6 linked regions of the Callithrix jacchus genome follow. The protein of the gene in region 1 interacts with the protein of each later gene in a pairwise test. Links are inferred from orthologs where the notes say so. Each region holds a gene or a part of one and is shown in the gene's direction. Other genes may lie near its edges. The genes, in order: DTX2, SEC22A, FAM168A, ARNT2, NCS1 and GLYCTK.

Region 1 (4,928 bases):
TCTGCCTCCAGAGTTCAAGTGATTCTCTTGCCTCAGCTTCCGGAGTAGTTGGGATTACAGGCACGAGCCACCACACCCTGCTAATTTTTTTTCAGTATTTCTAATAGAGACGAGGTTTTGAGGGGCTGGGGGGAAAAAAGAGAGAGACAAGGTTTCACCATGTTGGCCAGGCTGGTCTGGAACTCCTGACCTCAGGTGATCTGCCCGCCTTGGCCTCCCAAAGTGCTGGAATTACAGATGTGAGCAACCGCACCCGGCAGAGAAACCATTTTGATCCACCTGTTCAATCCCACACTCCCACTACACAGTAGCAAAAATTAAAAAAAAAGAAAAGACAAAATGTTATTATTATTATTTTAAGATGTATGTCGCTTTTGTTGCCCGGGCTGGAGTGCAATGGCCCGATCTCGGCTCACCACAACCTCTGCCTCCCAGGTTCAAGCGATTCTCCTGCCTCAGCCTCCCGAGTAGCTGGGACTACAGGAATGTGCCACCACACTGGCTAATTTTTCATATTTTTAGTAGAGACGTGGTTTCTCCATGTTGATCAGGCTGGTCTTGAACTCCTGAGCTCAGGTGATCCGCCCACCTCAGCCTCCCAAAGTGCTGGCATTACAAGCATGAGCCACCATGCCCTGCAAAATTTTAAATCCAAAAAGGTTTGGCTGGGTGTGGTAGCTCACGCCCGTAATCCCAGCACTTTGGGAGGCCAACGTGGGCGGATCACCTGAGGTCAGGAGTTTGAGACCAGCCTGGCCAACATGGTCAAACCCTGACTCTAAAAAAAAAAAAGAAGGCCGGGCGCGGTGGCTCAAACCTGTAATCCCAGCACTTTGGGAGGCTGAGGTGGGTGGACCATGAGGTCAAGAGATTGAGACCATCCTGGTCAACATGGTGAAACCCCGTCTCTACTAAAAATACAAAAAATTAGCTGGGCATAGTGGCGCGTGCCTGTAATCCCAGCTACTCGGGAGGCTGAGGCAGGAGAATTGCTTGAACCCAGGAGGCGGAGGTTGTGGTGAGCCGAGATCGCGCCATTGCACTCCAGCCTGGGTAACAAGAGTCAAACTCGGTCTCAAAAAAAAAAAAAAAAAAAGAAAGAAAAGAAAAAAGAAAAAAATTTAAAACGACTGGCCTCAATGGTTCACACTTGCAACCCCAGTGCTTCGGGAGGCTGAAGCAAGGGGATCACTTGAGGCCAGGAATTTGAGATCAGCCTGAGCTACATTGCAAGACTCCCGTCTGTACAACAAATAAAAATAAAATTAAAGTTAATTTGAAAAACAAAAAAGAGAAACAGTAGCACCTGAATTGGCACCATGTATGTACTAGTAAAAACTAGTTAAAATGAAGTCAGTAACTAAAGAATAAGTGAATGAGTGAACAGGCGAAGGAAGAAAACATAGACCAGAGCAGGTGCGCCTTGGGTTGAGCCCCTCCCCTTGCGTCCGGCCCCTTGCCCGCCCCTGGGCCCCTCCGGGACTACATTTCCCGGAAGCCCACGCGCCCCGGGCATGCGCAGCGGCGCGCTCGGAAGCTGCGACGCTGAGTTTCACTCTGGTTGCCTTCTCCTGAGAGTCGGAGCTGCAGCCGGAGACCTTCCGAGGCCGAGCCGAAGCTACAGCCCGAGCGCTGTGGTGCCCTCAGCCCCGTTCTCTCGTCCTCCTCAGCCTAGGTGAGAGGGCGGGCAGGCTACCTGCGCGTCGCTGGGGCGCGGGGTGGCGCGGGGAGTCGGAGCACAGCCGGGACCGGAAGGGGGCGGGCGTGGGTGTGAGGGGAGTAGACGGCCCGGGCGGCGGGGACACCCGGGGGTCCCGGGAGATCAGGGATGTCGGGGCATCGGTCTCCGGTCTCAAGGTCCTGGTGGCGGGAGTTGGGGGGACTTGGGAGGCGCCGGGAGCCTTGGACGGGACAGGGTGCCGGGTGCGAGAGGGGACGTCTGGGTGGAGGCTGAGGGGCTCCCAGGCGGAGGGGCGCGGCCCCCGGGAGTTCGGGTCGCTCGGGAGGAGCGCACCCCTTCCCACAGGACCCGGAGGAGGCGGTGACGAGATTGCCACCGGCTCTGACGAGGGGTGGGTCCTACTGGGGTCTACCTCCAGGTGAAGGGACTTACGGTCTGGGGGTTGTACTTTGGAGGAGATTGCCTTCTAACTGTGCTTCCCTGCTCTCCGGCTGGGGTCTGCCTTCTACTTTCCCAGGACCTCCTGGGTCCCTTTTGCGGGTGCGTAAGGGGTGCCAACGAAGACTTAGAACTCGGTTCCCTTTTCTGGAGTTGCGCTTTCATCGCGACTCTCAGCTAGCCGCCCTCCTCCTCCAAGCCGGCTCCGCTTCTCTAAGCGCCAACCGCGATGGAAATAAATAGCATGTGTACAAACGCCTGGACCCTTGAGAAACTCAGAATATTTCTGCATGCCCTCCTAGCTCCTCTAGCGTTAAAGAAGGCAGACTTTCTGGTAGCCACCATCCGGGCTTACCTAAGCCATCCTGACAGCAAGCCCTCTGGTTCGGTTGCTCTGTGATCTTGGCCAAATATTTACTGTCTCTGGTATGTTGATTTCCTGGATGCTTAGCTGCCAGACTGGCTTATGAAGTTCTTTTAGGGTTTTCTGTGAAAGGCCTCAGGTCAGGCACGGTGGCTCACGCCTGTAATCCCAGCACTTTGGGAGGCCGAGGTGGAAGGATCACTTGAGTCCAGGAGTTTGACACAAGCCTGAGAAATGAAGAAGATTCCTGAGATACTGTCTCTACAAAAAATTGGATGGGCCTGTTGGCACCTGTAGTCCCAGCTGTTTGGGAGGCTGCGGCAGGAGGATTGCTTGGCCCCAGGAGTTGGAGGCTGCAGTGAGCTATGATCATGCCACTGCACTCCAGCATGGGTGACAGAGGGATAACGAAACTTTTTTTTTTTTTTTTTTAAAGAAGGGCTCAGAGCTGGGTGTAGTGGCTTGTGCCTATAATCCCAGGTATTCGGGAGGCTGAGGCAGGAGAGTTGCTTGAACCTGGGAGGTGGAGGCTGCAGAGACCTGAGATCGCCCCACTGCACTCCAGCCTGGGTGACAGAGCAAGACTCCATCTCCAAAAATAAATACATAATAAAAAAATAGAAGGGCTCAGGGTTTTTTTGTTGTTGTTTGCTTTTTGTTGTTTTTCAACCATCTCCTTGATAAGTGGGTGGAGGAGGCCTTCTGCTCCACCCAGGCTACTGGAAAATAAATCTGGTGATTTTCAGTCCCCAGGCACAGCACACGGATCCAACATCTGCACCTTCGTTTTTACTAACCGCTGTTTCTCAATTTAAAACCTGATCATCATCTTCCTTGTTGGCAAAGGTGCCTTGGAAATTGTGTTGCTGAGTCAGCAAGCCTTTCAGATTTGCCCGGTTTTTGTTGTTTGTGGTTTGCATCAAGATGGGAACTCAAACAAGTCATTCCTCCTAAGGAGCTGGTGTCTTCATCCAAAAGGGACGCTTCGTGCCAGCTCTCAGGAGAAAAAGGTGAGAGCCACAGGGACTTGACCTTGCTGCCTTCTCTGTCTGGTGCAGAGAAGGTGGGGATTGGGGAGGGTGGAATTTGAGGTCTACAGGATAAACGGTCACCCTGGGAGTTAATTGTTGATTGCCACCTGTCTCAAATAAATTTCAGTGGCGTCTTGCCAGCTGCTTCTCCTGTTTAACTAGTCTTAGAAGATGCTTTCCACTTTAAGACATGCTCTATGGGATGGAAGACACAAGTCACGATTTCTGCATTTGAACTGGCAGTTTTCATTTCTTTTGTTGCATAAACCTTTACTGGGTGCCAGACAAGATCTCTGTCTTTTGGGAGCTCATTGTTTGGTGGCAAAGACAAACCACAGTCAGTGATATTGTCAGTGTGACATATACTGAGATGGGGGAAATCATAAGGCCCTCCTACCCACATCCAGGAAGGGAAGGGACGGGGGAGGGTCAGGAAGGCTTCTGGAAGGTGGTAGTTGAAGGGGATTGTGAAGGAGGAGTAGGACTTAGAAAGTGGGGCACAGTCGCCTGGGAGAGGAGTCAGCATTTGCAAAGTCATGAAGCCACCGGGACACAGCTGGGCCACTGTAAGTAGCTTAGTATGTGGTAGAGGAGGCTGGAAAAGCAGGTGGAGGGCTGAGGGGGAGGGTTATGTGGGCCGTGCCAAGACTCGGGAGCAGAAGGATTTTAGCAGAATTCCATGAGGGGCATTGTATGTATTTGTCTGAGGTGGGGTCTACTGCTATTGCCCAGGCCGGAGTGCAGTGGAGTGATCATAACCACAGCCTCAAATTCCTGGCTCGGGAGGAGCTGAGTGGCCTACCACCATACCCAACTAATATTTTAACTTTTTCTAGAGACCGTGTCTCTCTGTGTTGTCCAGGCTGGTCTCTAACTCTGTGTCGTCCAGGCTGGCCTCAAGTGATCCTCCCATCTCAGCTTCCTGGAGTGCCTGGATTACAAGCCTGAGCCGCTGTGCTTGGCCTCCTGAGGGACATTTTACAGGAGCACACTGGCACATGTAGAATGGGTTAGACTGGATTGTTCTCTTAGTGAGTCTCTTTACACCATGCCAGCTTCTTGGGGGCGGGGGTGGGGTGGGGCGGGGACGGTGCCAAGAAGGGGGAGGGGGAGAGGCAGGTGAGTGGTTTCGCCCTCAGTTGCTCATAGTCTAATGGAAGAGAGAAAATGAACAGAGAGAACTGAAAAGGACTGAAAAGGAGGTTGATCAGAGTGTGTTTCCTTTCATTCTTTTTGTTGTTGTTTTGTTTGTTTTTTGAGGCAGAGTCTCACTCGGTCACCCAGGCTGGAGTGCAGTGGCGCAATCTCAGCTCACTGCAGCTTCGCCTCCCAGGCTCCAGAGTCTCGTGCCTCAGCTCCCCAAGTAGCTGGGATTACAGGTGCACACCATCACGCCTGGCTAATTTAGAGGGTG
Region 2 (4,491 bases), on another chromosome or scaffold:
TAAATGAGTGCTTTTACCCCCAGTATAGAATGTTTTTATCTTAAAAATGGCATTTGTGAAAGCATTTGGCTAGAACATATATACAAAATCTACTTATATGTTGGGCTTTATTACCTTTTGAGAGATACCTTCCTGAGACATTGAACCTGTTGTCATTACCCACACAAGGTCCTGAAGAAGAGAGATGTCTTGTTATCTTAGGTCTAAGAACTTGCTAACACTACTATAGTAGTTTGGCATTATGGGAATTTATTTTCCTCAGCCTTTACATAAAGGTTTACCCAGATTTACCTAGATTCTAACTTGTGCTTTTTCCTTCAACAGTTGCTGATGGCGAGAGGAAACAAGAGCCACTATTCAGATTCCCTGTGAGTTAACTGCTGCTGTCTAAAGCGGGTATAATATTTTCTCTGTATTAAAGGTGAGGAAAAATGGACCAGTGCTATAAACATTTATCTATGGCCCTTTTAAGCTAAAAAGTCCTAAATCTGGCCGGGCGCGGTGGCTCAAGCCTGTAATCCCAGCACTTTGGGAGGCCGAGGCGGGTGGATCACGAGGTCAACAGATCGAGACCATCTTGGTCAACATGGTGAAACCCCGTCTCTACTAAAATTACAAAAGATTAGCTGGGCACGGTGGTGCGTGCCTGTAATCCCAGCTGCTCGGGAGGCTGAGGCAGGAGAATTGCCTGAACCCAGGAGGCGGAGATTGCGGTGAGCCGAGATCGCGCCATTGCACTCCAGCCTGGGTAACAAGAGCGAAACTCCGTCTCAAAAAAAAAAAAAAAAAGTCCTAAATCTTCCCATGCAATTGTTGTAACCTCTTGCTTTCCACAGTTCCACTGGTTCTTCCTTGGGATTTTGCCAACCACAACCCTTCTTAGACCTTAAAGATACTCTAACCTAGCTTGGGCTTGATATGGACAGATTCTCTTTTCTGCTATCACAGTGCAGATAAGATTAGTTTAAAAACAACAACAAACTACATTATGAATCCGTGGTTAAAAGGAAAAAAGTAGTTCATTGAATTGGAGAGACAGCTTAGCCTAAGGTGATTGGAGTCTGTCTGCAAATTGGTTAGGCCTGACATTGATCACTGGACATTCATCCCAGTTTGTCAGGCTGAAATTCAACTGGTTTGGATGCTGAATCAAAATACTCATAGGAAGAGGTTTAATTTTTTCCCTAAGAAAAATCCTAACTATGGATCAGTAGAAACAATCCTCTGACAACCTTATAAGAATTTTGACAGGGAATATAACTGCTGTGTTCTGCTTTTAGTTAAAAGCTAAAGTATGCGTTAGGAATATTTGAGGCCAAGTGGCTCACGCTTGTAATACCAGCACTTTGGGAGGCCGAGGCAGGCAGGTCACTTGAGGTCAGAAGTTTGAGATCAGCCTGGCCAACACAGCTGAACCCCGTCTCTACTAAAAATACAAAAATTAGCCAGGTGTAGCGGCGGGCACCTGTAATCCAGAGGGAATGAGGCAGGAGAATCACTTGAACCTGGAGGCAGAGGTTGCAGTGAGTGTAGATCAAGCCATTGCACTCCAGCCTGGGCGAGAGTCAGACCCTGTCTCAAAAAAAGAAAAATTTGAAATGTAAGTTTGTCCAACTTTAGTTTTCCAGTTAATGAAGTGAGTGAAGTGATGGGCAACACACATGTGTTGTTTCCTCTTTTCATCTGAATTTCTCTAATTTGGGGGGTGATGGCACACAGTAGATATTCAGTAAATGCTTGTTAAACAAATGGAACTTAAAATTGTGTTCTTTTTTCAGTATGTATTCTAGAAAATGTGGATCATATATTTATCGCTCTGTCAAAGAATAACTGAAGACTACATGAAATTTGCAACCTATTAATAAAGACTATTCCTAATATTTCTATTAGTATCCTAGAGAGGCCAGACATAAAAGAATGCAGTCTACTTTTATTTTACTTATTGTTTTTTTGAGACAGGATCTCTTGTCACCCAGGTTGGTGTACCCCCCACTCCCCAGCCCCAAGACAGAGTCTCACTGTTGCCCAGGGTGGAGTGCCGTGGCACAATCCCAGCTCGCTGCAACCTTCTGCCTCCTGGATTTAGGCAATTCTTCTGCCTCAGTCTCTGAGTAGCTGGAATTACAGGTGTGCGCCACCATGCCTGGCTAATTTTTGTATTTTTAATAGAGATAGGGTCTCACCATGTTGGCCAGGCTGGTCTCAAATGTCTCATCTTGTAATCTGCTCACCTCAGCCTCCCAAAGTGCTGGGATTATAGGCATCAGCAACTGCACCTGGCCATTTTAATTAGTATTCTTATATTACTAGTGAGTTGAACATTTTTGCATATGCTTATCAAGTTTGGCTTTAATTTTTATCTAACCCAAATTGTTCATTTTGTTTTAGGTCTTCTCTGTTGGTTGAAATGTCTATGATTTTATCTGCCTCAGTCCTTCGTGTCAGAGATGGACTGCCACTTTCTGCTTCTACTGATTATGAACAAAGCACAGGAATGCAGGAGTGCAGAAAGTATTTTAAAATGCTCTCGAGGAAACTTGCTCAACTTCCTGATAGATGTACGCTGAAAACTGGACATTATAACATTAAGTAAGACTTCAGTTTGCTTCATTTGACTCACTTGCCCAGTGGTTGTCATTTTAATGAAGTTTAAGTGGTTGTGGTAGAAAGGAGTGATTAGGAAAACCTGTTCAAGCCAAGAATCATATCATTCTGAATTTACGCTAAATAGTCATTATGTCAGCAGCAGCCTTTTTGCAGTTTCTTTGTATTTATATGTGGCTCTAGGAAATTTTATAGTTGTGCAGATACAGATATTTATAAGTTAATCACTAAATATTCGCATTCTTACATACCTAGGATTGTAGTAGGCAAACTATAATTGTAAATAGAAAATTTTTACCTGATATCTGCCATAGAGCAGAAGCAGCATCTAGTGGGAGGAGATAGCACTTATCGCTGTATCATATATGAATCAAGTAAAACTGGGCAGTGGGATAGAGAGTGACTATTTATGGTAGTCAAAGGCTTCTCTGAGAGGGTGACATTTGATCAGAGACTCAAAAGATGAGAGAGGAGGTAGTTATTTGAAGGATGCTGTGGATGAAGAGCAAGGCAGAGGTATCAGCCAGTGGGGAAGCCCTTTGTTACATATCAAGAGAGAGGAAACCAGTGATCCCGAAGCATTATGGACAATTGTTGAAAGTGAGGTCAGAAAGGTAGGAATGGGGCAGGTTATGGAGGGCCTTCTAGGCCATAGTGAGTTTGGAGTCTATTAGTCTGTTTAGTCTAGTAGGGAGCTATTGGAGAGTTTTAAGCTGTAGAGTTACATGATTTCATTTTGGCATAGAGTAGATCATTCTGGGTGCTCTGTGAAGGATACACTAAAGGAGAAAGAGTGGAAGCAGAGAGGTCAGGTGGAAGACTCTTAGAGAAGTTCAGATGGAGATGATGAGTGTAATGAGCTAGGGTGGTAATGAAAATAAATAGATTGGGGTGTATTTTGGGATTAATACCAGCAAATCTTCCTACTGGATTGAAATGGGATGTGTAGGAAAAAGAATGATAATCACCTGTAATTTTTTTGATCTGAGGAACTGGATGGACATTGGAGCTGAAATGAGCAAGACAGGAGAGGATAAGTGTGCCTCATTGATAAAAAGTAAGAATTCTGTTTGGACATGTTAAATCTGAGCTGCCTATTAGATATCCAGGGGCACTGCTAGGGAAGCAGCTGGATACATGAGTCTGAATCTTAATGAAGAGGACAAGTATATAAATTTAGATTTGGAATTCAGCTTACAGTTTGTGATTAAAACCATGGGAATGGATGAGACCACCCTGGGAAGCTTAGACCTGAAACAATTAGAGAACAATTAATTTCTGAGAAGTTTGATACTGATTATGCATACAGAAATCAAAGACACAGTCCATATAGGATATAATAAGCAGAGGGATTCATTGTTGAGATGAGACATGAGCCATCTCCTGAAGAATTAATAAGAGTTGGCTAAGGCAAGGAGGAGGGCAATTCCAGGTGTACAGAGGAGAGGCAGAATAAAGAAAGAAAGTGACTTAGCATGGCAGGAGAGGTAGAAAAAGAAAGTGACTTAGCATGGCAGGTGTATTAACATGCTTATCCTGGTTCAGTGGATGGTGATTTTGGGATAGTTGTGAGACGTGTGATAATCAGTGTGGGGCCAGATCCTGGATTGCCCTGAAAGTTCAGATTGAAGGATGTCACTTTGATATAATATGTTATAGGAAGTTCTGCTGCAGGTTCAAGGGAAGTGACTTGATCAAAAACAGTCCTGAGACAGTGGAATTTAGGGTGAGACAGTCCAAGAGGGGAGAGATGAGGCAGAGAAGCCAACTTATTATTAGGGCCTGAAGTAAGAAAATAAACATGCAAATGAAGAATACAATGCCAAAAGAACTAGAATGATAATGAAGAAAAATAGTTTGATTGGGGGATCACTTTGAAGTTGGATC
Region 3 (4,951 bases), on another chromosome or scaffold:
GATCATGAGGTCAAGAGATGAGAACATCGCGGCCAACATGGTGAAACCCCATCTCAACAAAAATACAAAAATTAGCTGGGCGTGGTGGTGCACACCTGTAGTCCCAGCTGCTAGGGAGGCTGAGGCAGGAGAATCGCTTGAACCCTGGAGGCAGATGTTGCAGTGAGCCGAGATCCTGCCATTGCACTCCAGCCTCCGTCTCAAAAGAAGTAATAATAATTACGTGCAATCTGACACCCTTTCCTTCAAGATAATAATTGCTAATATTTTGGGGAACCTCTTTCCTGAAATCTCTCCAGGCTTATAGAATATTGTGTCAAACCTCAGATAAATTGAACCCGTCTAGACAAGTTGTTCTGTAATCAATTTTTTTCCCTCAAGAATAAATTGTAAATAGCTTTTCAAGTCAATAAATAGACCTATATCATCATTTTAAATGGCTCCTTAGTATTGCATTGTATGTATATGTCACACTTTATTTAAACAGCACCCTATTGATGAACATTTACTCCCCCCCATAATTAACTACCTCATATAACAATTTGTGCATTAATCTTTTCGAAATTGTTCGATTATCTTTTTAAGGTAAATTCTTAAAAGTAATAAAGCTGGGTCAAGAAGTATGCCCTTTGTACGTTTGTATTCAAGTTGCCGAATTGTCCTCAAATTTGCAGGGAGACCCGCGAGGAAGCTCCGGCATTAGTTCTGGTGAGAGACAGCTGCAACGGAGATGGCGAAGGAAGAGCAGAATCATAGGTGATCTAGCCCATCAAGGGGCTGGATCGGTGGGCTGGCATATTCCTTCCCTTTTTCCTTTCTTTCACTTCTTTTTCTTAATATGGAGGAAGAACCAAGAACTTCATCTCCCAGCATTTCACAGGGAACACACTCCCTGGGAAGTGTAGTACCGGGTCTGAGAAGGGTACGGAAGGAGGGTGGGAAGCTGAGAGGCATGCTGGGAGGTGTAGTCGAGAGAGAGGGAGAGAGACCGAGAGAGCGAGAGACCGAGGAGAGAGAGGGAGTGTGTGTGTCTATGCAAAGAAGATGGAGACACTGCGAGCACTGCCCCTTGGGGTTGGGGCCTCGGGCGATCCGACTTTCCTCACAGGTGGTCTTTGAGTCTACAACATCTGCCAGCGGATGGTTGGCTTTATTCCATTGTCCGTGACCAGAGAGGGCGCGGCCCCTCTGTACCGGGCTCGAGGCGGGAGGCGCAGGCCGCGCGCAGGCCAAAGCAGGGCATGCCGGGAGTTGTGGTCCAGGCGCTCTGAGGCTGTGGGACGTGTCGCGGCGCCGCGCCGGCTCCTCCTTCCCCGCCCTTCTCAGCGGTCCCCCGCCTCCTCCCTCCACCTCCTCCTCCCTCGCCTGCAGCCGAGCGTCCCCTCCCCCCAACCCGTCGGGCTCCTCGGCGGCTACTGCAGAGGATTCAGAGCCGAGTCGCTGAGGAGGAGGAGGCTCCGGTCCCCGCGTGCCATCCTCCACCCTGCTGGACACGGGCGAGGGAGCGAGAGCGTCGCCGCCGTAGCCTTCGGAGAAGACAAGGGCATCGTCGCCTCAGCCGCCGCCGTCGTTTTCGCCTGCAGCTGCTAGCCGGTGAGGAGACTCCCCCCGCCGCCCGGTCGGCTCGTCCTGAGCCTGGGCCGGTTGTGCTGGCGAGAATGAGAGTGGGGGCTGCCGAGCCTCCGCGCAGGTTTGGGGGAGGGGGTTGAGGTAGCGATGGAACAGCAGGCTGGCGGGGGAGACTTGTCCAGACGCTGGCTGGGGTGGGGTGAGGGTGGGACCCAAGCAGGTTGGGGGGCGGGCGACGAGGGAGGAGGACTTTTGATGGAGAATAATCCAACCTGGAACCGGAGAGTGGGGTGGGGGCGTCGGATTGGAATTCGGGATGGTCTTGGGGCGAGGTGGAAGATGAGACTAGGGTGGGATGGCTTCTAATGGGGGAGGGGACTGAATGAGGGTGGTGATTTGGGGTTGGCCTGGAGCAGTTGACAGCTTCGGATCTGAGCTGGGGTGAGGGGTAGGAGAATGATTTCAGTGGAGAGTGAGTAACAGATACAGGATAGGACCTGTATCTGGTTGGATAGGACCCTGAGGAGTGTTAATTCAGGAGGGTGGAATTTGGGGTGGACCTGGAGCAGGGTGATGGAGGTAACAGGAGCTGGGGGTGAGGGGCTTGGCAGGTGTTGAGACTTGAGCTTGAAGTGGGTGTTTGTTATCTGGGGCTGGTGAAATTTGTGGAGACTTACGGAATAGCATGCGTTAGAGCAGAGAAGTGCAATTTGGGGGTTTCCTGGGGTGGGCTGATCGAGGTTGGAATAGGAGTTAGTGGAGGTGGGACATTCAATGAGGGGAGTGTGATGGTGAGCTGACAAGAAGGAGTCAAATTGGAAGTCAGGTCCAAAATGGGAGAACAGGATGGAAATCGAGCGAGGGGCACAGTGGGTTGGATTTAGGATCTTTCAATCAGTGGAAAGGGCATGGTGGCTCCTTGGTTGCAGGGTCAAGGCAGAGGACACATAAAACATCCCTGGGCTGCATTAATTGAAAGGATAGCGGCAGGTGGTGAGCAAAGTTGGGGGATGGTATCTTGAAGAAAATGTCCCTTGGCCAAGGTGGCAGAGGGAGTTTGGAAGGATTTTCAGAGATGAGCTGGTAGGCCTGGAGAGGTGATTGCTGATGAAGAAGTGGCACAGGGCAAATTTAAGGAGTAGGAGACCTGGTATGGATGGGGCAGAGAGGATGGAGAGGGACAGTGAGCTGTGGTGGGGAGGGGGAAGTGGGTTGGATATTTTGGATGTGAAGGATTGGGATGACCTCCAGGAGACCCGTGAGGGTTAAGGGTTGGAATACTTAAATGGACAGTTTTGGTAGCTGTGATTGAAGGAGAGGCAGTAAGGCTGTTGTTAGAGGGGACTTTGCAGCAGAGACAGAAGAGACCTCATTCTTAGGGGCCATTTTAAGCTGTTCGTTTGATCTTTTTGTTTGTTTTATTTATATTAGTATAATTTGGAAGTCAAGTCAGCCCAAAGGGTAAAGTTGGAAAGGACTTTAGTTAAGGTAGAATTAAGGAGGGGAGGGTGTCTTCTGTTATTTGTAGATTATAAAAAGAAAGTTGGGGGAAAGAAAGCATACTTCCAAACTAAAGGTGGGGAGAAGATAAACTGGAATGTAATAGGTATCTTTCTGTTTGATGTCTCTGCCTTCTCCTTTCCCCTCTCCTCCTGGTGTGTTTAAAAACTATACCTGGAATTTTAAATAGATTTGGTGAGCTTGAGATTGTTAAGGGTGCATTCCTTGCTTGAGAACTAATGAGTGAGCCTGAAAAATATGAGGCTGAATTTATTTTGTAGGTAGGCAACATGCACATAGGCAAAAAGAGCTTGGGCCTTTTTTACCCCCTCTTAAAATTAGGGGGTTGATTTGATTGCTTGAAGACGCCATTTGTTAGTGTCCTGGTTTGCAAGGCAATTAGGCCCATCATTGTATTGCAGGCTAATAATCCTGAGATGAGTCTTGGCACCACTGCTTTATGTAAACAGAGAGAAGACAGGAAATATGGAAATGTCATAAATATTCATTGGTGAGATGGTTTGGTACTGATGGAGTTTTTCATATGATTGTTTTTGGCATTGATAAGATTTAAAATAATTGGATTGTATTTCTAAAGATTGAATTTTCTTCCAAAGGAATTCAGGTGATCAGAATTCTGTCAGATGTGAATAAATAAAGCATATTAAGTCATTTTTATTTTTTTTAGGGAATGATGTTGATGTAGGTGCATTGTATTAACTAGAGAAACAGCATCTCCATCTATTCATCAGAAATTCGATTTAAACCTTAATGATATACTCATTCTTATGGCAGAATAGTGATAATGGAAGGTACAGAGGAGTGTAAATGGAGGGAACATCTTTAGAGAAACAGTTCTGGACCTAATTGCATTAACTGTGATGATATGTTAAACATAAAGTGGCTGTTGATTAGAGCTCAGACTGAAAAAAAATGAGGAGGGATGCAAACAAGACAAAATCGACACCATTGGGATTGAAATAATTCTTTTTGTTTTTGTTCAAGCTTCAGAGTTTAGCTCACAAACAAACCATTTTCCGTGGCTTTCACAATTGAGCACACAAAAATATCCATTTAGAATACTTTTTTTTAGCTCCAAAATGGGCAGAATGGTGGAAAGTTGGACTTATCCTTTGAATTGAAAGTGTTTTATAATAAGGAAGCTTTCTGTATTACAATAAAAATCAGGTTTGAGCAGTTACCTGTAATTCAATGAGACTGTAATCTAATGCAAGCATTTCTCTCTAACTTTACTCTGGGGTCTAGACATTGTTTTTGCAGATCTGCAGGCTTGGTCTAGAGGTGAGATGTTTATATTAAAGCTCTAGCTTTTGAAAGCTCAAAATGAAAAGTAATTGCCTGGGAGAAATGTGCTGATGGATTTTATTTTTCCACAGTGTGGTCACCTGTGCAGTAGTAATGTTTTTGTATCTTTACCTCATTTGATCCTTCAGATACCCTGGTGAGAAGAGAGCAGATGGAGGTATTGGTAGACAGAAGCCTTGGTGGAATGAATAGCCCATGAGTTTAGGAGTCAAGAGTCCTGGATTCAAATCTCAGTTCTACTACTTGAAAGCTGAGTGATTACAGTTAAGTCATTTAAAACCTTTCATGTGGCCAGTTGAGGTGGCTCATGCCTGTAGGTCCAGCATTTTGGGAGGCTGAGGCGGGTGGATCACTTGAGATCAGGAGTTTGAGACCAGCGTGGCCAACATAATAAAACCCTGTCTCTACTAAAAAATACAAAAATCAGCCAGTCATGGTGGTGGGCATCTGTAATCCCAGCTACTTGGGAAGCTGAGGCAGGAGAATTGCAAGAACCCAGGAGGTGGAGGTTGCAGTGAGCCAAGATTGTGCCATTGCACTCCAGCCTGGGCAACAA
Region 4 (5,138 bases), on another chromosome or scaffold:
CCTCAGCCTCCTGAGTAGCTGGGATTACAGGCACGCGCCCCCATGCCCAGTTAATTTTTTGTATTTTTAGTAGAGACGGGGTTTCACTATGTTGTCTCGATCTCTTGACCTCGTGATCCACCTGCCTCGGCTTCCCAAAGTGCTGGGATTACAGACGTGAGCCACCGCGCCCGCCACCCCCCACCCCTTTTTTTTAAGACAGAGTCTTGCTCCATCGCCAGCAGCCAGGCTGGAGTGCAGTGGCGCCATCTCGGCTCACCGCAACCTCCGCCTCCCGGTTTCAAGCCATTCTCCTGCCTCAGCCTCCCGAGTAGCTGGGACTGCAGGCGCGTGTCACCACGCCCAGATAATTTTTGTATTTTTTAAAATCGCATTTTAGGTTTTGGGGTACATGTGAAGAACATGCAGGATTGTTGCATAGGTACACACATGGCAATGTGATTTGCTGCCTTCCTCCCCATCAAAAATGCTGGCATTTCTCCGCATGCTATCTCTCCCCAACTCCCTACCCCCCGCTATCCCTCCCCTATTTCCTCCCCCCCCCGACAGACCCCATTTTTTTTGTATTTTTAGTAGAGACGGGGTTTCACCATTTGGCCAGGATGGTCTCGATCTCTTGACCTCGTGATCTGCCCGCCTTGGTCTCCCAAAGTGGAGAATGCTTATTTGAACATACACCCCAAACATTGTTTCTCTACCCTCCAGAAAATGCTTCTTTGGAAGGATTTAAGACAGTCTGATGTTTCTGCAAACATGCCTGCGTTTAGGGGCCATCTTGCCCTTCTCAGCAGCGTTCACCGGGGATGTATTTATTCTTCCATTTAACCTTTACAGGGGACCACGATCGTGGCGTGTCCCTCCTAGGGGCCATTACCTTTCACAGGGATCCTCGTGTCTGGTAGAAAACAACCGCTCCAAGTTCTCTGCATCCTAACTTCACCAGGATACGCAGATAAACCTATTTTTAAAAATGTTTTTAAATTCTCAACTTGGCGGTGTAAATAAGGCTCTTGCAACGCCCTCAGGTAATAACCAAGGGCAGTAATCACCGCAAGAAGGAAGGTAGAGCTGAGCGCCTTACTCAAGGCCAAAGCATTCGCAATCTCTAGGGCCCGGCTGCTGTGCCTGGGCGTGTGCACCGTGCACTCCGAAGCTGCGTGCGGCGGTGGCCTTGGAGGTGCCTGTGGCCTTAGGAGTTCCCGGGGCCCGGAGCCCTCCGCTCGGCACCGGGTCGCGTCCCCGGCCTGGGAGCCGAGCAGCGCGGCTCTGGCATGCTAAGTGGGCAGCTCTGGGGCGCCTTTGTTCCTCGCGGCCGTCTCCCAGGGCCGGCTTCCCTCTGAATCTAAATGGGCTTCTCCCCCACCCGCTCCGCCCTGGCCCCCTGGCCTGGGCACGGCGCCCCTCGGTGATGCGCGCCCTGACACCTGGGGCGTGGGCGCGCGGGGGCAGCCCGGGCCGGGCGAGCGCGGGAGGGGCGCCTGCGGTCCCTGCGCGGGCCCGAGGGGGCGCCCCAGCCTCTGCCCCGCCAGTCGGCGGCGCCCAACCTAGGGGTCCCGCCGCCCGCAGCCCCAAGTCTCGCGGTGCTACCTCTCTGACTGGGGAGCCGCGGGCCGGGCGCCCCCCGCCGCGCGACAAAGGCTGAACTGGGAGGAGGAGGCCGAGGAGGGGGAGGCGGAGGCGGGGAAGGCGGGGACGGCGAGCGGCCGCGGCGGCTGGGAGCGCGGAGGGAGCGCCGCCCGCCCGCGCCGTCCTTTGTGTGGCGGCGGCGGCGCCTGGGCCTGACCGGGTCCCCGGGGCTGCGCGCCCGGCTCGCGCCGCCCCTCCCGCGCCCTTGGCGGCGCGCGCGGATCCTCTCCGAACAAGATGGCAACCCCGGCGGCGGTCAACCCTCCGGGTGAGTAGCGGCCTGGGCCCCGCTGCCCGCCGCAGCCCGCAGGCCCTGCCCGGGGCCGGAGCGGACCGGGGGCGCCGAGCCGCAGCTCCGCGCGGTGGGTGGCGGAGCGGCTGTCAGCGCGCGGCGGCCGCAGCATCAGCACCAACACCAGAGCGGCGTCTGCATCCCGACCCTGCCCATCCGGTCCCGGGCAGGCGCCGGTCCGGCCCTGCGGGCGGCAGCACGCTGACCTCACACGCTCGGGAACCCCAAGGGCCGGCCCGGGAGCCCCCGAAGTTCTGAAAATAACCACCTTTGCCTTCCCCATCCCACGCATTTTTCTCTTCCGGTCCCGGCTTTTGTGGCATCGCGGCGTCAGCCAGTCCTGGCTGGTGGAGGGCTCCGCGCTGACGGAGGGAAAAGTTTGGAGCCGGTATTCAACAGGGTACAACTCCCGGGACTCTGCCCTGCCCGCCCCGCACCCAAGCGCTGGTCCTTTGCGTCCTTGGCGACTGGCTGCTGTGCGTCCTAACCCTCTAGGGGCACAAAACACCCAGCCTGTGGTCACCAGAGTGGAGTAGCCCCGGTTCTGCCCAAATGACATCCTCTGCCTTCTGGGCTGACGTTTCCGCAGAGTGCAGCCTGTGACAACTGAGCTCATTCCGAAAGATTTCAAAAATGGCAGAGTTGTGATGGAGTGGCAACCTGGACCTGTTTTGGTACTGTAGCAGGGAAGTTCTGTTTTCCTTGGGAAAGTTCTCTACCTGATGAGCAGGGTGTGGGAGAAGAGAAAGGTGGACATCTAAGCGGGTACAAACTTCTGAGTGTTGTGCAGAGACTGCTGTAGGCATGGCAGGTTCCTAGGTCCCTGTGGAGGATGCAGGGAAAGTCACAGAGTGTGGCCCCCAGGAAATTCGCAGCAGAGGGAGGTCATGTTTTGGAGACGGGGAGGGTGGGGGAGGAACATCAATGCCTCGCAAAGGAAAGCATCTGTCATAGAGTTAGGAATGAAAGATCCTTTTCATCAAAGGTGGCCAGGGACGGCTTTTGGAGATTGGACGTTTCGCCTGAGCTTTGAAGATGGGAAGGTTTGAAGGTACAGAGCCAGGAGCAGAGGGGCACTGCCCGCATAAATGACAGTGGACTTGTTCTAAGCATGTGCAGAGGTCAGTGAGTGGTTGGTAGACTGGGGATATAAGAGGCAGCAGTGGGATTCAACATTGAGTTGTTTGGATGTGACCAGGCTTTGAAGGACAGACTGAGGAGTGTGAATTTTCTCCACATTAAGGGAGAGTTCTCTGCATACTTCCTAAGAACCATAAAATAAAATAGAAAGTAGGAAAAAGAGAGAGAGAGAGTCCTCAATGGTATTGAACAAGGAATTGCATGATCACTTTTTTCTGGAAGGTTGATTTGTCAGCCATGTCAAGGAAACACAGAAAGGAGGGAACAAGACTTGAGGCAGGGAGGCCAGCATGAAATGAGGCAGGTCTTGGGGAGGCCAGACTTGGTGGCTGTGGCCGGACCAGAGAGGGAGGAATGCACACTGGGCAAGTGGAGGAGTTTCAGGTTTGGCACTCATTAGATCTGGAGTAACAGTAAAGGAGGAGGCCAAGGAGAGGCAAAGGGCGGAGTCCATGGAGACGCCAAGGTGAAGAGCCTGTGTGATTCCAAGGAAGGCTGTTCCATCAGCAAAAATAGGGGCGTTTGGAAGAACAGACAAGGAGGGAGGCCTCTGTCCAGAACACTGAGGGGGAACCTGGCTGGTCTGAAAACACATCTGTGCCATTTTGCCTCGACTGAAGCTGCCATTTCAACCCATTCAACGAATTCAAAATCAATAGAAAGTTGATAGATTTAAATGTTATGAAATCAGAGAAAGCAAAAGAAGTTAAATGAAGATCTTTTAGTGCAACATAGGTTTACATTCGGAACAGGAGTGAAATCCCTGATGATTTACCTAATTTCTATGCCAGGACATGATTCTTTAAAACTGTTTTGTCCATTACATTTCTCTGTGATCTATGTGGACTGAAGATGGAGTCGCTGCCCCTGGTCCAGTGGTGTGGAGCACAGGAGAGCCTGTGCCTGTGCCTTGGACTGCGGGAGACTCGAATGCTGCAAGCGCGGGGGATTCTTTGCATTGTTAGTCAACACCTGGCCAGCTTGGCAGATGCTTTTCTCTGTTGACAGAGATACCAGGGATGTTGAGCATGGTGGTAATTTCTCAAGTGAAAATTCCCTTGCGGTGATGACCTTTGCTATTACAGACTATCATTTTTTTTTTACTGGTCTCCTCAGGATGATCCATGGGGAGGTGTTATTCTTGCCGCATGTGAATCTCTATCTTCTTCTTCAGGAGAAAGGGTTTAATCTCTTAAAGGGAGATGGCTCAGGGTTTGAGCCAAAGAGAGAGATTTCAGATTCTGTGGGCGATTTACAACAAAAAAAGCCAGGGCACCCAAGCTTGTCACCCACAGCCTACCTCACATGGGCAAGAGCCTTGTGATACATCTTTTAATTCCTTTTTCTGCCTCCCTCCTCTCCCCAGATATGGTTGCTTTGCAAAGAATAAGAGATTGGTAAACAGAGCAAATGGACTGGGAAGCACCAGGATTTATTTCCACTGCTAGTTTGTGTCCAGGGTACAAAGGCCACAGCCAGTCACCTCCCCATCCTCTCCCACCTGTTCCTTTTTTCCCAGCTGACCACTTCACAACAGCAGAACCGTTTGCAATGACACTCTTCTGCGATGTGTAGTGGGGATTCTCTAGGGCCTTGTTGGTGACAGGTGATGTTGGGGGTCTTCATTGACATGTTGATATAATCCATGTCCAAATTTTGAATCTGCTCCTTCAAGGTCCCATTTGGGTTTTAGGTTAGGATTCTACCAGTTACTCTGGGAGAGCAGAAAGAAGGATTGGGCTCCCAGATATTCACCTCATGACTTCTGCTATGACAGTCCTGACTATATTTCTCATATCCTGTGGTCCTGGGTATCCCCTACTTCTGGGTCATTTCCAATTTCCTTACATTGATCAATGAAAGTGTTGTATTGGCTGATTTTCTGTATTCTCTCTGGCCAGAAATGACATAAATCCTTTAGATTAGAGAGTGGTGTCATAGAATCTTCCGGTGTGTGTGTGTGTGTGTATTTGTTTTGCTACCTTTTTGAATGCCATTTAAGTATTTCTGATTTATAGGAAATAGTGAAGGTTTGAATTAGTTATATGCATGAAAGGGTATTTTAGCTCCAGTGGCACAA
Region 5 (4,491 bases), on another chromosome or scaffold:
TGTCGGTGACCTCGAGGGGGACCCTGGATGAGAAGCTGCGGTGTAAGTCCAGCTCCTTTGGCCCTATGGGGCAGCAGCTGGCGGGCCCAGGCAAGAGGGAGGCAGTCCTCTGCCCTCACCAGGCAGGGGCACCAGACGCCCACCGCAGTGACCGCAGATGGTGTCCCAGCTCTGTCTGTCCACTGAGGGCAGGCCTGGCCCTGGGCAGGTAGCCCTCACATGGCCAAGTAACTAGGCCAGACCAGCTGTCCCGGGTTCAGAGAGTAGCACAGACATTGGCGCTTCTAGGTCAGAGGGTTTCCTGGAGGTGGAGGGCTGAGGGCAGAGGCTGGCAGGAGCCTTGGCTACACTCTGGCAGGTGCAGACCTGGGCAGCGGGAGGGGCAGTGGGGACCCAAGAAACAAGTTCAGTGCCGGACCCACCTCTTTCATAGCCACTGCTTTGATTCCGGCTTTCACTCCTTCACTTACTTGTTCATTCGCCAGATGACGACTGCACGCAGCCAGCTGTTGGTACCAGGGACCCACTGGGGATAAGGTAGATAGGTCCTGCTTTCACGGTTGTCAGTCTAGCATGGCAGCAGGATTTACCAAAACCTCAGGAAACTGTAGGCGAGCGGGAGAGGGAGTCCTGAGCAGGAGGGGACCTGCCTGGTAGGCGCTGGGCTGGGGTGAGGGGAGCTGGGAGGGGTGCAAGGGCTCCAGGCAGGGGGGCCCGCAGGTGCGAGGCCCATAGAGGGAGGCTGAGAGGACAGGAGGGAGGCTGTTCAGGCCCCTGGCGGCATTAGCAGGAATGCAGGGAGGGTGAAGGGTGGGGAAGATGGAAACCATGTGGCCAGAGCTCCCTGCTCGGGAAGACTTTCACACTTCATTCCGCCAGCAGCCAGAAGACCCTGCAGTTTCTATTGATTGATTGATTGATTGAGGTGGAGTCTCACTCTGTTGCCCAGGCTGGATGCAGTGGCACGATCTTGGCTTACCATGACCTCTGCCTCCCGGGTTCAAGTGATTCTCCTGCCTCAGCCTCCTGAGTAGCTGGGACTACAGGCACCTGCCACCACACCCAGCTAATTTTTGTATTTTTAATAGAGACAGGTTTTCACTATGTTGGCCAGACTGGTCTCGAACTCCTGACCTCGTGATCCACCTGCCTTGGCCTCCCAAAGTGTTGGGATTACAGACGTGACACACTGTGCCTGGCCTTTTTTTTTTTAAGGAATAAAAGAGAATTTTATTTATGCAAAAGATCCTCCTCGTGTTGCACTATTTATTATCTAATGTTGACTGTCGGGGCCACAGCATAACTGTGGGAGCCGAGTGGACCATGGGGAGGAGGTGGGGCTGGAGTGGGGGAGGGAGTAGGGTGGTGGATAGACTCCTCTGGGCCACACCCCAGGCCCCTGGCTTCCCACTCACTCGGCTCCAGCCTCTGAGGCCTCGGCCCTGGAAGCCCAATGCCTCTTCCCTTTATTTTATTTATTCATTTAGAGACAGAGTCTCGCTCTGTCTCCCAGGCTGGAGGGCAGTGGTGCGGTCTCTGCTCACTACGACCTCTGCCTCCCGAATTCAAGTGATTCTCGTGCCTCAGCCTCCCAAGTAGCTGGGATTACAGGTGCTCACCACCATGCCTGGCTAATTTTTGTATTTTTAGTAGAGATGGGGTTTTACCATGTTGGCCAGGCTGGTCTCAAACTCCTGACCTCAGGTGATCCGCCCATCTCGGCCTCCCAAAGTGCTGGGATTACAGGCGTGAGCCACTGTGCCTGGTCCTGTTATTTTTAATTAATTAATACACACACACACACACACACACACACACACACACACACACACACACATACATATATGGAGAGAGAGAGAGAGAAAGTGAGAGAGAGAAGGTCTTGCTCTGTCACCCAGGCTGGAGTGCAGTGGCTCGATCTCGGCTTATTGTAACCTTCACCTCCTGGGCTCAAGCCATCCTCCCACCTCAGCCTTGCAAGTAGCTGGAACTATAGGCACATGCCACCACGCCCAGCTAATTTTTGTATTTTGTAGAGATGGGGTTTTGCCATGTTGCTCAGGCTGATCTCGAACTCCTGGGCTCAAGCAATCCACCCACTTCAGCCTCCCAAAGTGCTGGGATTACAGGTGTGAGCCACCACACCCAGCCTTATTTATTTTTAACCCTAGCTGCAATGGGGTGTGTGTGTGTGTGTGTGTGTGTGTGTGTGTGTGTGTGTGTCTGTCCCTATCTTGATGTAAATATTTGTTGACCTGATGAAGAATGGGCCATCCGGTCTCTAACTTCATGTTGGGGTACAGAGAGGAGGGGTGAGCTGAAGACCCCTCCCAGCCGCCCCAGCCTTGCTCACTCAGCGCTGGCTGTTGCTTACAGGGGCCTTCAAACTCTATGACTTAGACAACGACGGCTACATAACCAGGAATGAGATGCTAGACATTGTGGACGCCATTTACCAGATGGTGGTGAGAGGCTGGTTCCCATGGTGTGGGGATGGCAGGAGGGGCAAAGCCAGTGACTGAGAAAGAGACAGCACCTGTGCAGCGGTGCCCCTGCCCAGGGTGGGAGCGGGGGTCCCTGGTTGAGCTGTTCTGTTCTGTACATCTCTGCCTGGGCAGGTTGGCAGGCAGGGGCTGGCAGATAGTGGGGCTGGGGTGTGGGATATTCCAGGGCAGAATGGCAGGGATGGGGAGAGGAAAGAAGAGGGAGGTGGTTCTCATCTGGAACCTGCCAGGTCTGGGGGGCAAATGTGTGGCCAAGAGCCCAAAGCCCAGGGTGCCAGGCCCCAGTCCCGCCTTGTCTGTCCCTGCAGGGGAACACCGTGGAGCTCCCAGAGGAGGAGAACACTCCAGAAAAGAGAGTGGACCGGATCTTTGCCATGATGGACAAGGTGAGGTGGGGCTGGGGCTGGTCCCAGACCGGGGAGGCAAAGGGTCGGGGCAGGAATTGGGGTCCCTGGAGCCTGGGCCCGCCTTTGCTGCCATCGAGTATGGGGCTGGCTCACGGCAGGCGGCACGGCCTGGTGGCACATCCACGGTCAGCAGCCAGCCGCATCCAGTGTCCAGAGTCTTAAGTCAGTTTGCTGGTGTGCTTTCTCTAATCAACCAAAGTCCTCAGGCTTTATTTTTTTGGTTTGCCGCAGACCCCTTTGGCATTCTGGAGAAGCCTACGGACTTCTCAGAATAACGGCTTTCAGAAGATCAAAAAGGAAGCTGATTATTTTAGAAAACAGCTGTCAGAGTATTTTTAAAAAAGAATCTGTGATGTAGCATTCTGTGAGCTGCTCTTCTTAACGCATTAACTAAGATGTAGTGGTGGGGCTGACAAGCCCCACTGGGAAATTGGGAGCTGTCCTATCTGCAACTGGGACGCTATGAAAATACCTGTGACCCCACTGTCGACAGATCACGGGGACTGCAGGTCCTGTTGGGGACCATCATCTAGGTTCCTATCGAAGGAAAAGCTACATTTCAGTTAGAGGTTAGTGAAAAGATAGACTGATTTTTTCCCCCAAGTTCACAGTCCTGCTGATTTCTATCCACAGGCCCAAGGTTAAGAAACCCTTCTTTAAAGGGAACCATAGGCCGGGCGTGGTGGCTCACACTTCTAATCCTGACACTTTGGGAGGCCGAAGCATGTGGATTACCTGAGGTCAGGAGTTTGAGACCAGCCTGACCAACATGGTGAATCTCTGTCTTTACTTAAAAAAAAAAAAAAAAAAAAAAAAAAAGATTACAAAAAAATTAGCCAGGCATGGTGGCACATGCCTGTAATCCCAGCTATTTGGGAGGCTGAGGCAGGAAAATTGCTTGAACCCAGGAGGTGGAGGTTGCAGTGAGCCAAGATCACACACTGCACTCCTGCCTGGGCCACAAGAGTGGGTCTCAAAATAAAAAAAAATAAAAAAGGGGGCCAGGCGCAGTGGCTCACGCCTGTAATCCCAGCACTTTGGGAGGCCGAGGCGGGTGGATCACAAGGTCAAGAGATGGAGACCATCCCGGCCAACATGGTAAAACCCCATCTCTACTAAAAAAATACAAAAATTAGCTGGGTGTGGTGTCACGCGCCTGTAGTCCCAGCTACCTGGGAGGCTAAGGCACGAGAATTGCTTGAACCCGAGAGGCAGAGGTTGCAGTGAGCCGAGATTGCACCACTGCACTCCAAACTGGCGCCTGGCAACAGATCAAGACTCTGTCTCAAAAAAGAAAAGGTACCATAGACACTGGGGCCCTCTTGAGGGTAGAAGGTGGGAGGAGTGTGAGGATTGAAACCCACCTATTATCAGGTACTATGTCATCTGGGTGATGAAATAATCTGTGCAGCAAACCCCCACAACACAGGATTTACCCATATAACAAACCTGCACGTGCATCCTTGAACCTAAAATAAAAGCCTAAAACAAGGACTCCAAAAAAAAAAAAAAGGAATCCTTCTTTAAATCAAACTTCTTTTTAAACTAAAATAACTTTTTTTTTTTTGAGACGGAGTTTT
Region 6 (5,172 bases), on another chromosome or scaffold:
ACGCCTGTAATCCCAGTACTTGGGGAGACAGAGGCAGGCAGATAGCTTGAGCTCAGAAGTTTGAGACCAGCCTGGGTAACATGGCAAAACCACATCTCTACAAAAAATACAAAAAATTAGCCAGGCATGGTTGTTCACGCCTGTGGTCCCAGCTACTTTGGAAACTGAGGTGGGAGGATCACTTGAGCCTAGGAGGTGGAGGTTGCAGTGACCTCCAAGATTGCGCCACTACACTCCAACCTGGGTGGCAGAATGATATCCTGTCGAGACAGAGAGAGAGAGAGAGAGACCCTGTCGAGACAGAGACAGAGAGAGAGAGAGAGAGAGAGAGAGAGAGAGAGAGAGAGAGAGAACACCAGTGAGAGAGTTGGAAGTGGGGGCCGGAGGAGGGGAAAAGTTCATGACAAGAGCACGGCATAGTTTAGAGAACTATGGAGAGATGTAGCAACTGCCAAAGGGAGCAGGTAGGGAGTGTGAAAAGAAAAGGAAATTTCAGGACATGCTAAATTAATAATGTGAAGGAGAAAAGTTAAGCCCTGGAAACTGAGCAGGCATAGCCTTTTCTTTCTTTTCTTCTCTGATGCATGACTGTTGCTTCCTGACCTTTGGGTTGAAATGTTATACATTAACCAGACTCCCTATTCTTCATTCAAACTTAGACTAGATGATGTGGGAGATAGAGACCTTTGTGATTGTTACCTCTTTACAATAGAATGTTAAGCAACATCTTTCAAGTATAATCAATAGTAGCCAGTCAAATCTTGTATTTATGTTAGCCTTTTTTGGAAAATGTTGTAATTTCAGCACCTTATTTTTGCCTATATAAACAATCTTCAGCTTTCCCCACACTGGGGAGCACTAATTGTCTGTTTACCCAAATGGCTGCTCTCACACTTTATGCTTTAATAAATTCTTTTAACTGGATCTCAAACCTTTTGATGATTTTTAGGTTGATGATAGAAATGTGTTTTTGGGCCAAGTGCAGTGGCTCATGCCAGCAATCCCAGTACTTTGGGAGGCTGAGGCAGGTGGGATCATTTGAGGTCAGGAGTTTGAGACCAGCCTGACCAACATGGTGAAACCCTGTCTGTACTAAAAATACAAAAATTAGCTGGGCATGGGCTGGCTGCAGTGGCTCACCCCTGTAATCCCAGCACTTTGGGAAACCGAGGAGGGTGGATCACCTGAGGTCAGTAATTTGAGACTAGCCTGGCCAACATGGCGAAACCCCATCTCTACTAAAAATTAGCCAGACATGGTGGCATGTGCCTGTAATCCCAGCTACTAGGGGGGCTGAGGCAGGAGGATCGCTTGAATCTGGGAGGTGGAGGTTGCAGTGAGCCGAGATCACGCCACTGCACTCCAGCCTGGGCAACAGAGCAAGACTCTGTCTCAAAAAAAAAAAATTAGCTGGGCATGGTGGCAGGCACTTTTAGTCCCAGCTATTCTGGAGCCTGAGGCATAAGAATCACTTGAACTTGGGAGGTGGAGGTTGCAGTGAGAGAGAGAGGAGAGAGAGAGAGAGAGAGGGAGAGAGAGACAGAGAGAGAGAGAGAGAGAGAGAGAGAGAGAGAGACAGAGAGAGAGAAAAGAAAGAAAGAAGTGTGTTTTTGTATTGTTGCTTTTTTTTTTTGAGACAGGGGCCCAGGCTGTGGCACAATCAAGGTTCACTGCAGCCTCTACCTCCCAGGCTCAGGTGATCTTCCCACCTCAGCCTCCCTAGTAGATGGGACTACAGGAGCATGCCACCACACCTGGCTAATTTTTTTTTTTTTCGTAGAGATAAGAGTTTCGCCATGTTGCCAGGCTGGTCTCGGACTCCTAGGTTCAAATGATCCACCCACCTTGGCCTCCCAAGTGTTGGGATTATAGACTTGAAACACTGCACCCTGCCGAGAAACGTTTTAATAAAATTGTTAGAAAATCAAGTGTGTGATTTGTGACGCAACTCTCCCTTCTACCTCCCTAAGAAAACATCAGTAAAAAACAGTGAACTGTTCTGTGGTTTTGGAGCCTGATCAGGACTCGTCTAATGAATATGGGAAGGCATCAAGCCAGCTCAGGGTGGGCCCAGGAAGAGAGCAGGGACAGCGAGGAAGGACCAGAGTCATTCGCGTTTACATGCAGCTTTTATGCTTGAGGATCACGGAACAGAACTCTTGCTAAGCCAGAGCTGTATTTGGTGGCCCATGGTGAGAGAGGGAAGAACACTAGTAAGTTGTGGAATTAAAGCCATGAAGAGAAGCGGGAATGACTTAATTTGGCTCCAGAAGCGGTGAGTCGTGGGGAAGTAGTGACTCTCAGTTCGTTTGCTCAGCCCAGTGCCTGACACCTAACAGCAGCTCAGAGTGCATCTGCTGACTGATCACACAGAATAAAGGAAGGGAGAGGCCGGGCGCGGTGGCTCAAATCTATAATCTCAGCACTTTGGGAGGCTGAGGTGGGTAGATCGCTTGAGTTTTGGCGTTCGAGATCAGCCTGGCCAACAAGGCGAAAGCCCGTCTCTACTAAAATACACAAAAATTAGCCGGTCGTAGGGGCGCAGCCTATTCGGGAGGCTGAGGCATGAGAATCGCTTGAACACAGGAGGCGGAGGTTGCAGTAAGCCGAGACCGCGCCACTGCACTCCAGCCTGGGCGACAGTGTGAGATCCCGTCTAAAAAAACACAAACTGCAATCGGTGAGGCGGGGATCATTATGCCTAATGGAGAGATGAAGACAGTGAGGCCTGAAGGTGACTCCTTCCAGGTCTATTGGTGGCCAGAGAGGAGCCAATACCCTAAATGCTCCTTTCCCAGACACCGGCTTCAGCAAGAGCTCGCACCCGCCAGCCCCACTCCACCCACCCACACTTCCGGCTTCCGCTCCGCGTACCCGCGAGTACTTCCGGCTTCCAGCGCCGGGCGCTGCGGCCCGGAGCTGTTGGGTGGTAAGTCTGCGCCGCGAGGGCTCACAGGGCCTTTAGAATCAATCCCGGGGCTGGGCGACGACAGCTCCCGGTGGCAGCAGGCCCTTCTTTCTCGCATCACCAGGCATTACGGGACAGCCAATTCCCTCGCGAAGGCCCGACCTAGGGATGACGTCATTTCCGTCCCTTGCTGGTTGGGTGAACCGGAAATGGCGCCAGCCCCCTTTCGTGATAGGGTGGAGTCAAAGCCGGTAGTATTGTTATTTCCTTGTTTTGCTCTGGAACCGCCTGGAGTTTTGGAGAGACCATGTCTTCGATGGAATTGTAGAACTTTGCAAATGAAAATGCATAGCGGCCAGTTAATTTGTTTTTTAATTTTGAGACAGTTACCCAGGCTGGAGTGCAGTGGCGCAATCTCGGCTCATTGCAACCTCCCTGCATTCTAGTGCTTCAGCCTCCCGAGCAGTTGGAATTACAGGCTCCCACCACCACACCCGGCTAATTTTTGTGTTTTTAGTAGAGACGGGGTTTCACCGTGTTGGTCAGGCTGGTCTCAAACTCTAAATTTGAGTTAAGATAAACGACGAACAATTGTCATTAAGTCCTAAACATTGTGTGCGACATATTTTTTTTTAAATTACTTGTTGGCTGGGCGCGGTGGTTCACGCCTGTAATCCCAGCACTTTGGGAGGCCGAGGCGTGTGGATCACGAGGTCAGGAGTTCAAGACCAACCTGACCAAGATGGTGAAACCCCATATCTTAAAAAAAAAAAAAAATTTATGTCTTTAAAAATAAAAAAAAAATTGTTTACCGGGAGGCAGAGGTTGCAGTGAGCTGAAATCGCACCATCATGCTCCAGCCTGGTCAACAGAGGGAGACTCCCTCTCAAAAAAAATTGTTTATCTGAAATTCAGATTTAACCAGACGTCCTGTATTTTCTCTGGCAGCCTTAGCATTGAGCGTTCCCTGCCTTGTGCTCATATCCAGTGGCAAGGCTGGGATCTTCCAGGCTCTTGTCCATCTGGGAAATAGATACAAAACTATAAGGACCTTAGTTGCTAGGATGCTTTTTTTTTTGAGACGAAGTTTCGCTGTTGTTACCCAGACTGGAGTGCAATGGCACGATCTCGGCTCACTGCAGCCTCTGCCTTCTGGGTTCAAGCAATTCTGCCTCAGCCTCTCGAGTAGCTGGGACTACAGGTGCACACCACCACGCCCAGCTAATTTTTTGTATTTTTAGTAGAGACAGGGTTTCATCATGTTGACCAGGATGGTCTCGATCTCTTGACCTCATGATCCACCCGCCTTGGCCTCCCAAAGTGCTGGGATTACAGGCTTGAGCCACCGCGCCCGGCCCACTAGGATGCTTTTAGCTCCAAGCCTAATGGGCAAGCCCCATGGGTCCCCCTGGCAAAAACTGTACCCATTTTCAGAATCCCCATGACCATGCCCTCTGTGTTCCCTTTCACAACAGAAGTCCGGCACAGCTGTCTTCTCCTGTGGGAGAGCTGAGAACTAGGCAGGCAGAATGGCCAGAGTCTAGAAGTAACCACCTTCTTTGGGTGTGGGGTAAACTGGTGTTTGAGATCGTCTCTGTTACAGTGGACAGTATCAGAGAACCTGAGGGTGTCAAGGGGAAAGCTTAGTGTTAATCTCACCTCATGTCCCATTTTGCAGATGAGACCCAATGAGAGCAATGGAGGTGTCCCAGCCACTCAGCAAACGTGTAGTAGAGCTGAAACCTCAATTCCCAGCATCCTTACCCTGCTCAATCCTTACTTGCTGATGAAGTCAGCTTGCAGCATTTATGGTAGGCATTTATTAAAGTAGGTGCAATAGTACATCTGTGGTAGAGATGGGCTCTTTGGGTCTTTGTTGTCCCTACACCTCTCTGCAGATTCCTGACCTTCAGTCCAAGGCTTCTTTAGCTTTTACTCTGCCCAGTGGGGAAAATGGCTTTTTGGGCTCAGCTTTGGGAGCTTGGCCTTTGCCTACTTCAGCCCCTGGGCTCTCACCACTGTGGGTGGTGTGGCTTAGGACTTGTTTTTGTTGTCTTGGAACCAGAAGGGGTGTTCATGGCAGAGTTGGGTCTGGCCAGCTATGTGGGTAGAAGGGCATCCTTCTCTGTCCTGCAATTGGGCTCATGGCACATGGCCTCACATGGTGCCTGGGCACTTTCCTAAGGTTCCACCATGAGCCAGACTGTTCCAATTCCTGATTTAAACCTAAATTTCTTGCTAAACTGGTCCTGAATACTGGGATT

Evidence for each region.
Region 2: the proteins of DTX2 (region 1) and SEC22A interact in binary tests that used the Homo sapiens proteins (3 or more experiments, as listed by UniProt). The two-hybrid records come from large-scale screens. The link is inferred for Callithrix jacchus from reciprocal best matches to the Homo sapiens genes DTX2 and SEC22A.
Region 3: the proteins of DTX2 (region 1) and FAM168A interact in binary tests that used the Homo sapiens proteins (3 or more experiments, as listed by UniProt). The two-hybrid records come from large-scale screens. The link is inferred for Callithrix jacchus from reciprocal best matches to the Homo sapiens genes DTX2 and FAM168A.
Region 4: the proteins of DTX2 (region 1) and ARNT2 interact in binary tests that used the Homo sapiens proteins (3 or more experiments, as listed by UniProt). The link is inferred for Callithrix jacchus from reciprocal best matches to the Homo sapiens genes DTX2 and ARNT2.
Region 5: the proteins of DTX2 (region 1) and NCS1 interact in binary tests that used the Homo sapiens proteins (3 or more experiments, as listed by UniProt). The two-hybrid records come from large-scale screens. The link is inferred for Callithrix jacchus from reciprocal best matches to the Homo sapiens genes DTX2 and NCS1.
Region 6: the proteins of DTX2 (region 1) and GLYCTK interact in binary tests that used the Homo sapiens proteins (3 or more experiments, as listed by UniProt). The two-hybrid records come from large-scale screens. The link is inferred for Callithrix jacchus from reciprocal best matches to the Homo sapiens genes DTX2 and GLYCTK.

The regions. Positions count from the first base shown.
Region 1 is NC_133503.1:11,211,975-11,216,902, forward strand, and holds the start of DTX2 (putative E3 ubiquitin-protein ligase DTX2), read left to right. Parts: upstream 1-1,764; 5' UTR 1,765-1,828; coding exon 1,829-1,857; intron 1,858-3,229; exon of another isoform or gene 3,230-3,329; coding exon 3,330-3,493; intron 3,494-3,967; exon of another isoform or gene 3,968-4,080; intron 4,081-4,928. UniProt on the Homo sapiens protein: Regulator of Notch signaling, a signaling pathway involved in cell-cell communications that regulates a broad spectrum of cell-fate determinations.
Region 2 is NC_133516.1:79,844,528-79,849,018, reverse strand, and holds part of SEC22A (vesicle-trafficking protein SEC22a), read left to right. Parts: intron 1-324; 5' UTR 325-330; coding exon 331-368; exon of another isoform or gene 369-421; intron 422-2,388; coding exon 2,389-2,589; intron 2,590-4,491. UniProt on the Homo sapiens protein: May be involved in vesicle transport between the ER and the Golgi complex.
Region 3 is NC_133511.1:67,374,569-67,379,519, forward strand, and holds the start of FAM168A (protein FAM168A), read left to right. Parts: upstream 1-1,395; 5' UTR 1,396-1,593; intron 1,594-4,523; 5' UTR 4,524-4,658; intron 4,659-4,951.
Region 4 is NC_133507.1:27,187,558-27,192,695, reverse strand, and holds the start of ARNT2 (aryl hydrocarbon receptor nuclear translocator 2), read left to right. Parts: upstream 1-1,863; coding exon 1,864-1,894; coding exon of another isoform or gene 1,895-2,534; exon of another isoform or gene 2,535-2,592; intron 2,593-5,138. Other genes in the region: uncharacterized protein LOC128932337, read right to left, coding at 937-958, 1,588-2,534. UniProt on the Homo sapiens protein: Transcription factor that plays a role in the development of the hypothalamo-pituitary axis, postnatal brain growth, and visual and renal function. Specifically recognizes the xenobiotic response element (XRE).
Region 5 is NC_133502.1:178,805,440-178,809,930, forward strand, and holds part of NCS1 (neuronal calcium sensor 1), read left to right. Parts: coding exon 1-42; intron 43-2,376; coding exon 2,377-2,465; intron 2,466-2,812; coding exon 2,813-2,890; intron 2,891-4,491. UniProt on the Homo sapiens protein: Neuronal calcium sensor, regulator of G protein-coupled receptor phosphorylation in a calcium dependent manner. Directly regulates GRK1 (RHOK), but not GRK2 to GRK5. Can substitute for calmodulin. Stimulates PI4KB kinase activity.
Region 6 is NC_133516.1:34,811,114-34,816,285, forward strand, and holds the start of GLYCTK (glycerate kinase), read left to right. Parts: upstream 1-2,113; 5' UTR 2,114-2,275; intron 2,276-2,874; coding exon of another isoform or gene 2,875-3,026; exon of another isoform or gene 3,027-3,090; intron 3,091-4,586; 5' UTR 4,587-4,719; intron 4,720-5,172.